Linked DNA regions of Yarrowia lipolytica. The protein of the gene in region 2 interacts with the protein of the main gene of each other region in a biochemical or structural test. Links are inferred from orthologs where the notes say so. Each region holds a gene or a part of one and is shown on either strand. Other genes may lie near its edges.

Region 1 (2,458 bases), on a different chromosome or scaffold from region 2:
ATTCTCAGACAGGAACCGACCATCCATAAACAACTGTCGTACGACGTATTGTACCAGTACATACTATAATGTCGGTCACACCTCAATCACCCCACTAAATATTCTAATATCTGGGCTACAGCGCACGAGAACACGACATCTCCTTCTCGCATGTACAACTGCACCATGTATCAAGGAGCGTCCAGTCCGTCTCCATAGCAATAGGCGAGGAGAGACATTATTGGTTTACCAGGGTTTAGCTCAATTAAAGAGAATGAGAGTCCGAATGAGTTCAGAGTGACAACCTCCCACTTGTCTCACCATGGAAAGGCTGATTCATTCACCTGGAATGTGGAAGTATGTGTACGATTTTGGAAGATACTCATTAGAAATCACAACACAACAAGATATTAAGGTGCCAGATGTTGAAAAGGACGAGACTACAAGGGTACCCGTACTCGTACAAGTAGTATGCGAGGATATTGGCAGAAAAAAAATGCATATATTAACGAACGTGGGAGTATTGTGCTACTCCATGCAGTGAGATCAACTCTTAAATAGGTATGTGTGGCTGATAGGCCGCACAACTGATTGTGAACAAGTAGCTAGACTGTGCAACTTACATGATAACACACCCCTTCTTCTTCTTCTTCTTCACCTCCGAATTCTTCCTCTGATGCCCTTTGAAACTCGTCGAGATGTTTCGGATAGACGCTGCCGAACTCGTACTCTTGACACTCACGTGCTTCGACGCTCTATCGTCGTAAGGCATGTTCAGATAGTCTGCTCCAGTAGAGGACGTGGGGCTGTGGGTAGGGCTGCTCACGCCCATTCCGCTTGTACCAGCCAAGGAAACGGTTGAGCCGCCAAACGACGAGTCTCGACGAATGATCTGTCGCAGAAGGTCCTGGAACACCTGGTCAATGTTGGTCTTGAACTTGGCCGACGTCTCGTAGAAGGGAACCTTGCCCCATTGGTTGGCCAGCGCCACTCCGTCCCGAGGCTGCACCTGTCGCTCGTTTTCCAGATCGCACTTGTTGCCCACCAGCACCATGGGCACGTTGTTGTTGTCCTTGATCCGACACACCTGTTGTCGCAGCTCCTGCAGCTCTCGCAAAGACGACTCCGAGTTGACTGAGTAGACCAGAACGAAGCCCTCACCGTTTCGGATGTACAGCTCTCGCATGGCGGTGAATTGCTCGACTCCAGCGGTGTCGAGAATCTCCATGGTGCAGTGCCGGCCATCCAGATTCACCTTTTTGCAGTAGGAATCCTCAATGGTAGGGTCGTAGGACTCGATGAAAATGTCCTGCACGTACTGGACGGTAATGGCAGACTTTCCGACGCCACCGGCGCCCAGAACGACGATTTTGTAGTCTCTCATGCTGTGTATTTTTTTGTGGTGGTGAGAAGCGTAGGAGGGCTCAGGTATAAGTCATGTTTTGGTAGCTACGCTTGTTAGACATTAAGTTCACGTGTGAAATTTGGGTTTGTCATCAAGTTCTGGGCGGATGTCCATGAACATCGTTGTGATAGGGATAGGGGTGGAAAAATTACATAAAAATGCTTGACTTCATTATGGCTACTTTTTCCCATCTTTTATTTGTTTCTCGTCCTACAGGAATCTCAAATATCAGACGCTGCCCGCCACTCATTCCAACTCATATACACCAACACTAAAGCATAGTCCCAAAACTCTGTTTGTTGTCTCTGTGCTTTTTGTTTTGTTTTTATGTCCTCTTTCAAACAGGCGGGTGAGACAGTTGTGGGTTGTCTTTAGGCGTTTTGCGCCCTCTGCTTTAAGGCGTATACGACGCATTCCGCAGACGTTGCTCGGTACAGTAGTCCGGCTGATGGCAAGTGGCCCTTAAGCCCTTTCATTTGGCCCCCTACTTGTCTCGTTATTCAAGCCGTATATGCCCTGCCTGGCTGCTATACCTCACTGGGCCCACTTGGCGAAGAACCAAAAATAGACCCGTTTATTATTTCGCTCTGACACAAATATTCCGCCGAAAAGTGCCATATGTACTTTTGTGTCAAGACGCGAAACGCGACCTCTTTAGGCTCGGGGCACGTGCTGTACTAGTATAGCCACATAAGGGGTACAAGTGGCATAGAAGCTGTGCAATATTGTGGACACGGGACATAAACAAACCGAGCGCTGTACCAGCCTCGTGTCTAGCATAACAGCTATAGTTGCGCGCGTGTAGATGATTATTCAGCCCGATACAAGTAGACCCCGCTGGAAACTCAATTGTCAAAACACTGTTGACAATCATGAAAATCAGGGCAACCCAAGACCACACCACCACATACAAGCGCGGTGCGAGACACTCTGCCAGTAGCGAGTTCGATACTTGTACAAGGCGAGTTGTTTCATTCTGCGGTCTGAACCGACAGCCTCACGTCTCCCACTCGCTAAGAATGTAACGTCCACTGGCAGTGGTGCGCTCCTTGCATTCCCCTTCTTCTCCTGTCT
Region 2 (3,765 bases):
ATGGTCACCATGTCTCCGTCTTCGTCCTGGTACTTGATTCGCAGAGGGGCAGGTACCACCTTTCCACACAGTCGCACCTTTCGCTCCACCCGCTCAATCAGCTGATCGTAGGTGACCTTGGCAGGCACAATGAGCGTGAATACGTCCTGGAAATACTGTACGCGTACCTTAATGTTTGAGGGACGCATGGAGCCATCATCAAAGCCAGGAGTAGAAGCAGATCTAGCCCGGCTCATGCCTCCTCCATTACTGCTCGCAATGGACACCGAGCTGTGATTCATGCCGTTAGCCCCGTGCATGCCGTTGATAGAGGTGGTGGAGTGCTGTCGGGGGCCCAGCTTGGGCACTGGGCCTGAAAGAGACCGATTTCCAAGCGTCAGTCGGTCCAGGTCCTCAGACAGATGCGAGCTCTGCTGGGAGTTTCGGCTGCTGATTGGAGACTCCACAAGAGGTGAAAAGTGAGACTCATACGAGTCCTGGTTGTACCAGTCGTGCAGCTGTTTGATGGTAGCATCCCATTGTCGCAGTTGCTCTTCGTGTCGGAACCGCATGGTCATAGAGCCATAGCCGTCTCCTTTGTACGTAAGCGTCAAAGAGTATCCGTTTTCTGTACTAGATATCATGTTGGTCACGTTGGCGATGTAGATTCGGCCCTTGAGAGAAAGAACTGTCTTTTGTGGCTTCTTTGAGGGCAAACTCATTGTCTTACCCTTTTTATCACGTGTCTCTTTGCAACACAGGATGATGGCCTCGAACAAATACACCAGGTACTCATATTCACCGGACTCCTTTGCAATCGTAAGGTGGTCCATGTAGAGCAGGTCTCCAAAATCTTCAAGGTTGTAGCTCTTCCAGCTATCTATTCGCTCGCACAGGTCTTGAATGATAGCCACGTTCTCCACCCTTCGCTGTGTCTCGTTGACACTGTTGGTAACCCGCTTGATGGCCTCCAAACCGTCTAGCAGCTCTGACGCGTAAGGATGGTCGCTGCTGCTCACTTTTACCAGCTCTCGTAGCAGTAATGGGTACTTGCAGATTCGTTGAATGGGCTTGATGAGGAAGGCCTGGAGCTCGTAGGTAGGCTCGATGATGTGGGCGAGGGCGGTGAGTTTGGGGGCCTCCTGAACAGCCAGATCGGAGGACGCCTTTTGGTTCAGCGCGTAGGGCTCGTAGATGTGAAAGCCAGCCTCCATGTTGAGGAAAAGTGCGCCAAAGCGCTGCTCTTCGACCGGCAGAGAGCACACATGTTCAATACCGACCAGTACTCTTCTCTGGAAGTCGACCAGTGCAGATACGTTCAGAAACATGAGATGTATAGTGTCTGGGTTTAGGATTTCAGCTTCCAGGAGACGGTTTTGGTAGTCGTGCAGTATTTCGAGATCCTGGACGTACTTTCGCTCTGTCTGTAGCAGCTCTTGAACCACGTTGTATCGCGCGTCTCGGGTGGCGGGTGCGGTTATGGGTGCAGTTTTCGGAGGCAGCAGGTGTCTGGCCTCCAGCGTCTCCACCACCATGCTGACCGTACGCATCACTTTGATAAGATCGCCCGTGTTTTCGGAAAAGAGGTTGGAGATGGTGAAGAGCTCGTCGTCCGAGTAGCCCAGCTCGGCCTTGCAGCCCTGCACAAAGTCGTAGACCGACCGTTTGCATGTTCGCACGTCGATGGACGCGCGGTTAGCGGCGGCGTGGGGGTCCACTGTGAGTGGAGTTCGAGGTTGCAGCATGTTGAACAAGATGCACAGGGGGGCTCCTAGTCGGAACAAAGACCAGAGCTGGGTAACGGGGTCCAGGGGGATGGAGGGGGGTAGGTGGGTGATGGGCACGATGGACGACATTTCCGAGTCTTCCAGGAAGGGCCGCACTTGCTCAATGTCGTGGAACCGGTCCCGCATGGTCTTGCACATATTGTAGAGCGACTTTTCCGAGTCGGCCTGTCTGTTCATGACGAGGTTTGCCACCGGCATGGGAGCCACCGAGGTGGGGGCTGTTGACTGCACCGACGACATGGACATGGTGGGCGTCATGGATCGCAAACGCGGCGTGGAGGGGTATGTGGAGTTCTGTGTGGACGGCGACAAGGTGGACAGAGACGGGGTGGATTGCGACGAGCTTTTGCGTTGCTGGGGGGTCTTCGTGTATGGCGACGACGGTAGCAGGTTGTTGATCTCCTGGTGCAGCATCTGCTGGTGAGCCAGGTTGTCATTTGGCGGAGACAGTCTTCGAGAGGATCCGTTCATGGTGACCGACGGGAGCAAGGGGGGACCGTGGTAGTGGACGGTGCGTGGTTTTGAAATGGATGTGCGTGGGAGGGTGCGAGGCGTGTGGTCACGTGGGCGGGCGATGCGACTAGTCCCGTGGCGATGATGGAAGCGTGCCTGCTTTTGTGTCGTGTGTGTGCTGTGTCGTTCAAACTCACGTCGTCACGTCCTCTCAGGTAGTGTCAACAAGTGCGGTGGGCCTTTACAATAGCAAGACACCGAACCTTATGGGGATACGAGTGAGGGGGGGGGAGAGGACTGGGGGGTTGGTAATAAGTGGCCCGATAAAACAACCTGAGATAGAGAGTTTAGTGGCGGACCCTGAGCCCTAAACCAAACCACAAGACAACCACCACCCCCTTATATATAATATATATTTATATATAATATATACTTCGATAAATTAACAAGCGGAACACAGTTCGCACAGGAACCCGACTTTTGCGGCCGTGGTGTTTTGGCCTCGTATCCGCTCCTTGTCGTTTCCCAACATTGTTCGGACTCCTTGTTTTAGTTGGGAGATGCGCAGCCCCTGGATGTTAGTCAGCCGAGCCTATTTGGGCCGCGGAACGTCAATTCTGGCCGCGGACACGGCGTGAGATGACCATCAAAAGGTCTCCTCCGTGATAAAGAGCCCGGATTTCCCATCTCTCTGGTGAATTTTTCTACTCTGTGACCCCACGATCTGGCCCCACGATCTGACCTCTCGATCTATCGAGTTGTCGGGCTTTGAAAATCTTTAAAAAAACCTTTAAAAAGATTTGGGAGGACGAGTGTGAGGGTAGAGCACGAGACATGTTGTATAGTACACACGAGAAGCACAAGTACAGTACTTGTAGGTATAAGACTTGTAGAGAACAAGTACAAGTACAGTACAATATAATACAATACAATACAATACAATACAATTACAATAAAAAACAGGTACCTTCACTGTAGCCTCTTCTACCCCATTGCAATATCCAAACAAGAAGTGGTCCGATGACTCGCATTCGTGGTTTTTTTCGTCGCCAAAGTCCATTCATTGTACAAACGAAGAAGCCTTTTTACCACGTGGCAACGAAATTGCGAGACCCTGAATGTGTTTTTACAGCACGAGACCTCGTGTTGCTGTAGGCCGGTTCTATTTATAGACCATAATTCCATCCACATCTCTTTCTCTCTCTTCTCTCTCTCTCTCTCCCTCTCTCTCTCTCCCACAGTTATGTGAACAACGCACCTGTGCAGACAGACTCCGAAGTGCTCAGTGGAATTAGCCGCCGAGACGCGCTGAATACGCTCTTATTAGTCCTTTGCTTTCTTTGGGCCTCTTTTGTCTCACCGAGCGTCCCCAGAATGTTTTATACACCGCGCCAACTCGTCCAACAACCTATTTTGTTTTACCACTCTTGTATGTTGTTAATTAGAGCGGCGCATTAATACGTTGAAGGTAATACGTCGGGCCAGTAAAGTTTCAGCTGAAACCGTCACATTGAACAAACATGCGCAGTCTCTCAGAGGCGCAACA
Region 3 (2,201 bases), on a different chromosome or scaffold from region 2:
GTAGTACCGTGATAACGTAGTGTATGGTGGAACTTGGGCTGTTCATAGGGGGTGTTTAATAAACATTGTACGCTACTGTACCTGTAAGTACTGCACCGACCCGCGCACTAACCCGACACAAGAAATGTGCCTCATTGGCCTTGGGCTTATCAGTGAGTGATGTGGCCTATGCATGAGCGAATGGGTTGTGTGGCATAGATGTTTTGACGCTGACTGCTACGTAGCACGTAGTATAGAGGACGGCGTCAGTTTGCGGAATGTAAACGGAATGTGTGCGTGTTTGAATAGTAATAATATCCGGTCCAGTTGCCCCACGCGACAGTTTTCCCCTGTTGGCCTATTATGTCCTTTATGCCCTTGAAGTACAGTTTCCAGCTCCCCTGGGACGATTCGATTAGGGGACTTAGTTTTGGCAACGTCAGTGGGAGGGGAGAGGTGGGGCACTCGTAAGTCACAGACGGCAATAGGCGGTGGAAATATACAGAGTATTCGATGGTAGAGAAACGACTTTCTCAGACGAGAAGATTTCACAAGCCCTCGTATTCCGCGCCCCCTGGCTCACGATACACCACAGAAGCGCTCCGTGGCACACCTTTGTGCATAAAAAAGCATAGGCTTCTGTAAGCAGCCTTCTCGTTTGACACCCAAATCCGAAACCCTGTCGCACAGCACAACTCACCACCTCACATATCACACTCCACACATACACACCCACACAACACACCCACATTCTCACACTCTCACGCCCCCACCACGCTCCTTGAACAAGCTCCCGCCCTAGCCCGTGCACAGACCCTCAAAAAGATAAAATGCAGACCATAAAATGTGTTGTTGTCGGCGATGGTGCCGTCGGAAAGGTGAGTATAAAGACAAAACGCCAATTATCAAGGTTCTCGTGCTCCGCCACGATCACGATGTCGTTCTGGACGATGGATTAATGGCCCTGGAGAGCTCCTACTAACGCAGACTTGTCTCCTCATCTCATACACAACAAACAAGTTCCCCTCTGAATACGTTCCCACCGTTTTTGACAACTATGCCGTGACTGTCATGTGAGTATAACGCGTCGCATTCTGCAAGAAACCAAGCCCCCCCCCCCCCCCCCCCAAGCAACGAATCGAGATACTAACCCCAGGATTGGAGACGAGCCCTACACACTCGGACTGTTTGACACCGCCGGTCAGGAGGATTACGACCGACTGCGACCTCTTTGTTACCCTCAGACCGATGTTTTCCTCGTCTGCTTTTCCGTCACCTCTCCCGCCTCCTTTGAGAACGTCAAGGAGAAGTGGTTCCCTGAGGTCCACCACCACTGCCCCGGCGTGCCTTGCCTCATTGTTGGTACCCAGGTTGATCTGCGAAGTGACAGGATGATTCTTGACAAGCTTTCCCGACACAAGCTGCGACCCATGACCACTGAGCAAGGCTACCAGCTCGCCCGAGAACTCGGTGCCGTCAAGTACGTCGAGTGTTCTGCCCTTACTCAGAAGGGTCTCAAGGACGTTTTCGACGAGGCCATCGTGGCAGCTCTTGAGCCTCCAGTGGTCAAGAAGAACAAAAAGTGCATTGTGCTCTAGTTTTTGCATGCTAATGGGTTAACACAACGAAAAATGAATCAAAGCAAGAAAAAAATGTTTCAAGATATGTTTATTGTAGTAGAACTGGGCTTGGATTGTGTCTACAGGGCCTCCGTGAGGGAACCTCAAAACAAAGCATCACTATGCGTTTCAAGCCTCGAGATGCCACCTGATGTCTGTAGTTACCCCATTTTTGACATATATATTATTGAATATCCAAAGGTAGAACCTGACGCGTGCTTGTAGTGCTGCAGTGGTGTATTATTTCCCCTGTTGGGTCATCATTACACGATAAGTACAAGTACGGATAGCTTCCGCCTCTACAATTAAAAGACACGCCCCACCCTTATTAAGCCAGCACATCGCTCAGGCAGATGTTTGAGTCCCGAACTCTATCCTAAGAAATCCATCGAAAAATAGTGGGTGTGCGTACAATACCCTAATATCTACCTTGGTGCAGAAAATCTAATCAGAACCTACCAGAACTACACATCTACACTCACGACATTGACGTTGTACTACGACCCTTACAACTATGTCCACCATGTACAATTCCCAACCGTCGGACACTTTGTGTGAGTATTTGCGCTGGACTGTCGCCACCCGTGCATCCGAAGTTCCCTT

Evidence for each region.
Region 1: the proteins of YALI1_C20646g (region 2) and YALI1_F30395g form a complex in vitro, tested with the Saccharomyces cerevisiae proteins (2 studies listed by BioGRID). The link is inferred for Yarrowia lipolytica from reciprocal best matches to the Saccharomyces cerevisiae genes CDC24 and RSR1.
Region 3: the proteins of YALI1_C20646g (region 2) and YALI1_B20717g form a complex in vitro, tested with the Saccharomyces cerevisiae proteins (3 studies listed by BioGRID, with this or other methods). The link is inferred for Yarrowia lipolytica from reciprocal best matches to the Saccharomyces cerevisiae genes CDC24 and CDC42.

Annotation. Positions count from the first base shown.
Region 1 is NC_090775.1:3,038,182-3,040,639, forward strand, and holds YALI1_F30395g (uncharacterized protein), read right to left. Parts: upstream 1,364-2,458; coding exon 599-1,363; downstream 1-598. UniProt on the Saccharomyces cerevisiae protein: Ras-related protein which binds GDP/GTP and possesses intrinsic GTPase activity. Involved in development of cell polarity during the cell division cycle, and essential for bud emergence.
Region 2 is NC_090772.1:2,062,398-2,066,162, forward strand, and holds the start of YALI1_C20646g (uncharacterized protein), read right to left. Parts: upstream 2,238-3,765; coding exon 1-2,237. UniProt on the Saccharomyces cerevisiae protein: Promotes the exchange of CDC42-bound GDP by GTP. Controls the polarity of calmodulin, and the calcium regulatory process of bud emergence. CDC24 may be involved in the initial selection and organization of the budding site.
Region 3 is NC_090771.1:2,070,896-2,073,096, forward strand, and holds YALI1_B20717g (uncharacterized protein), read left to right. Parts: upstream 1-809; coding exon 810-857; intron 858-966; coding exon 967-1,052; intron 1,053-1,135; coding exon 1,136-1,577; downstream 1,578-2,201. Other genes in the region: YALI1_B20709g (uncharacterized protein), read right to left, coding at 1-32, 77-174; YALI1_B20730g (uncharacterized protein), read left to right, coding at 2,113-2,152. UniProt on the Saccharomyces cerevisiae protein: Involved in development of cell polarity during the cell division cycle, and essential for bud emergence. Affects signaling in the pheromone-response pathway through the STE20 protein kinase.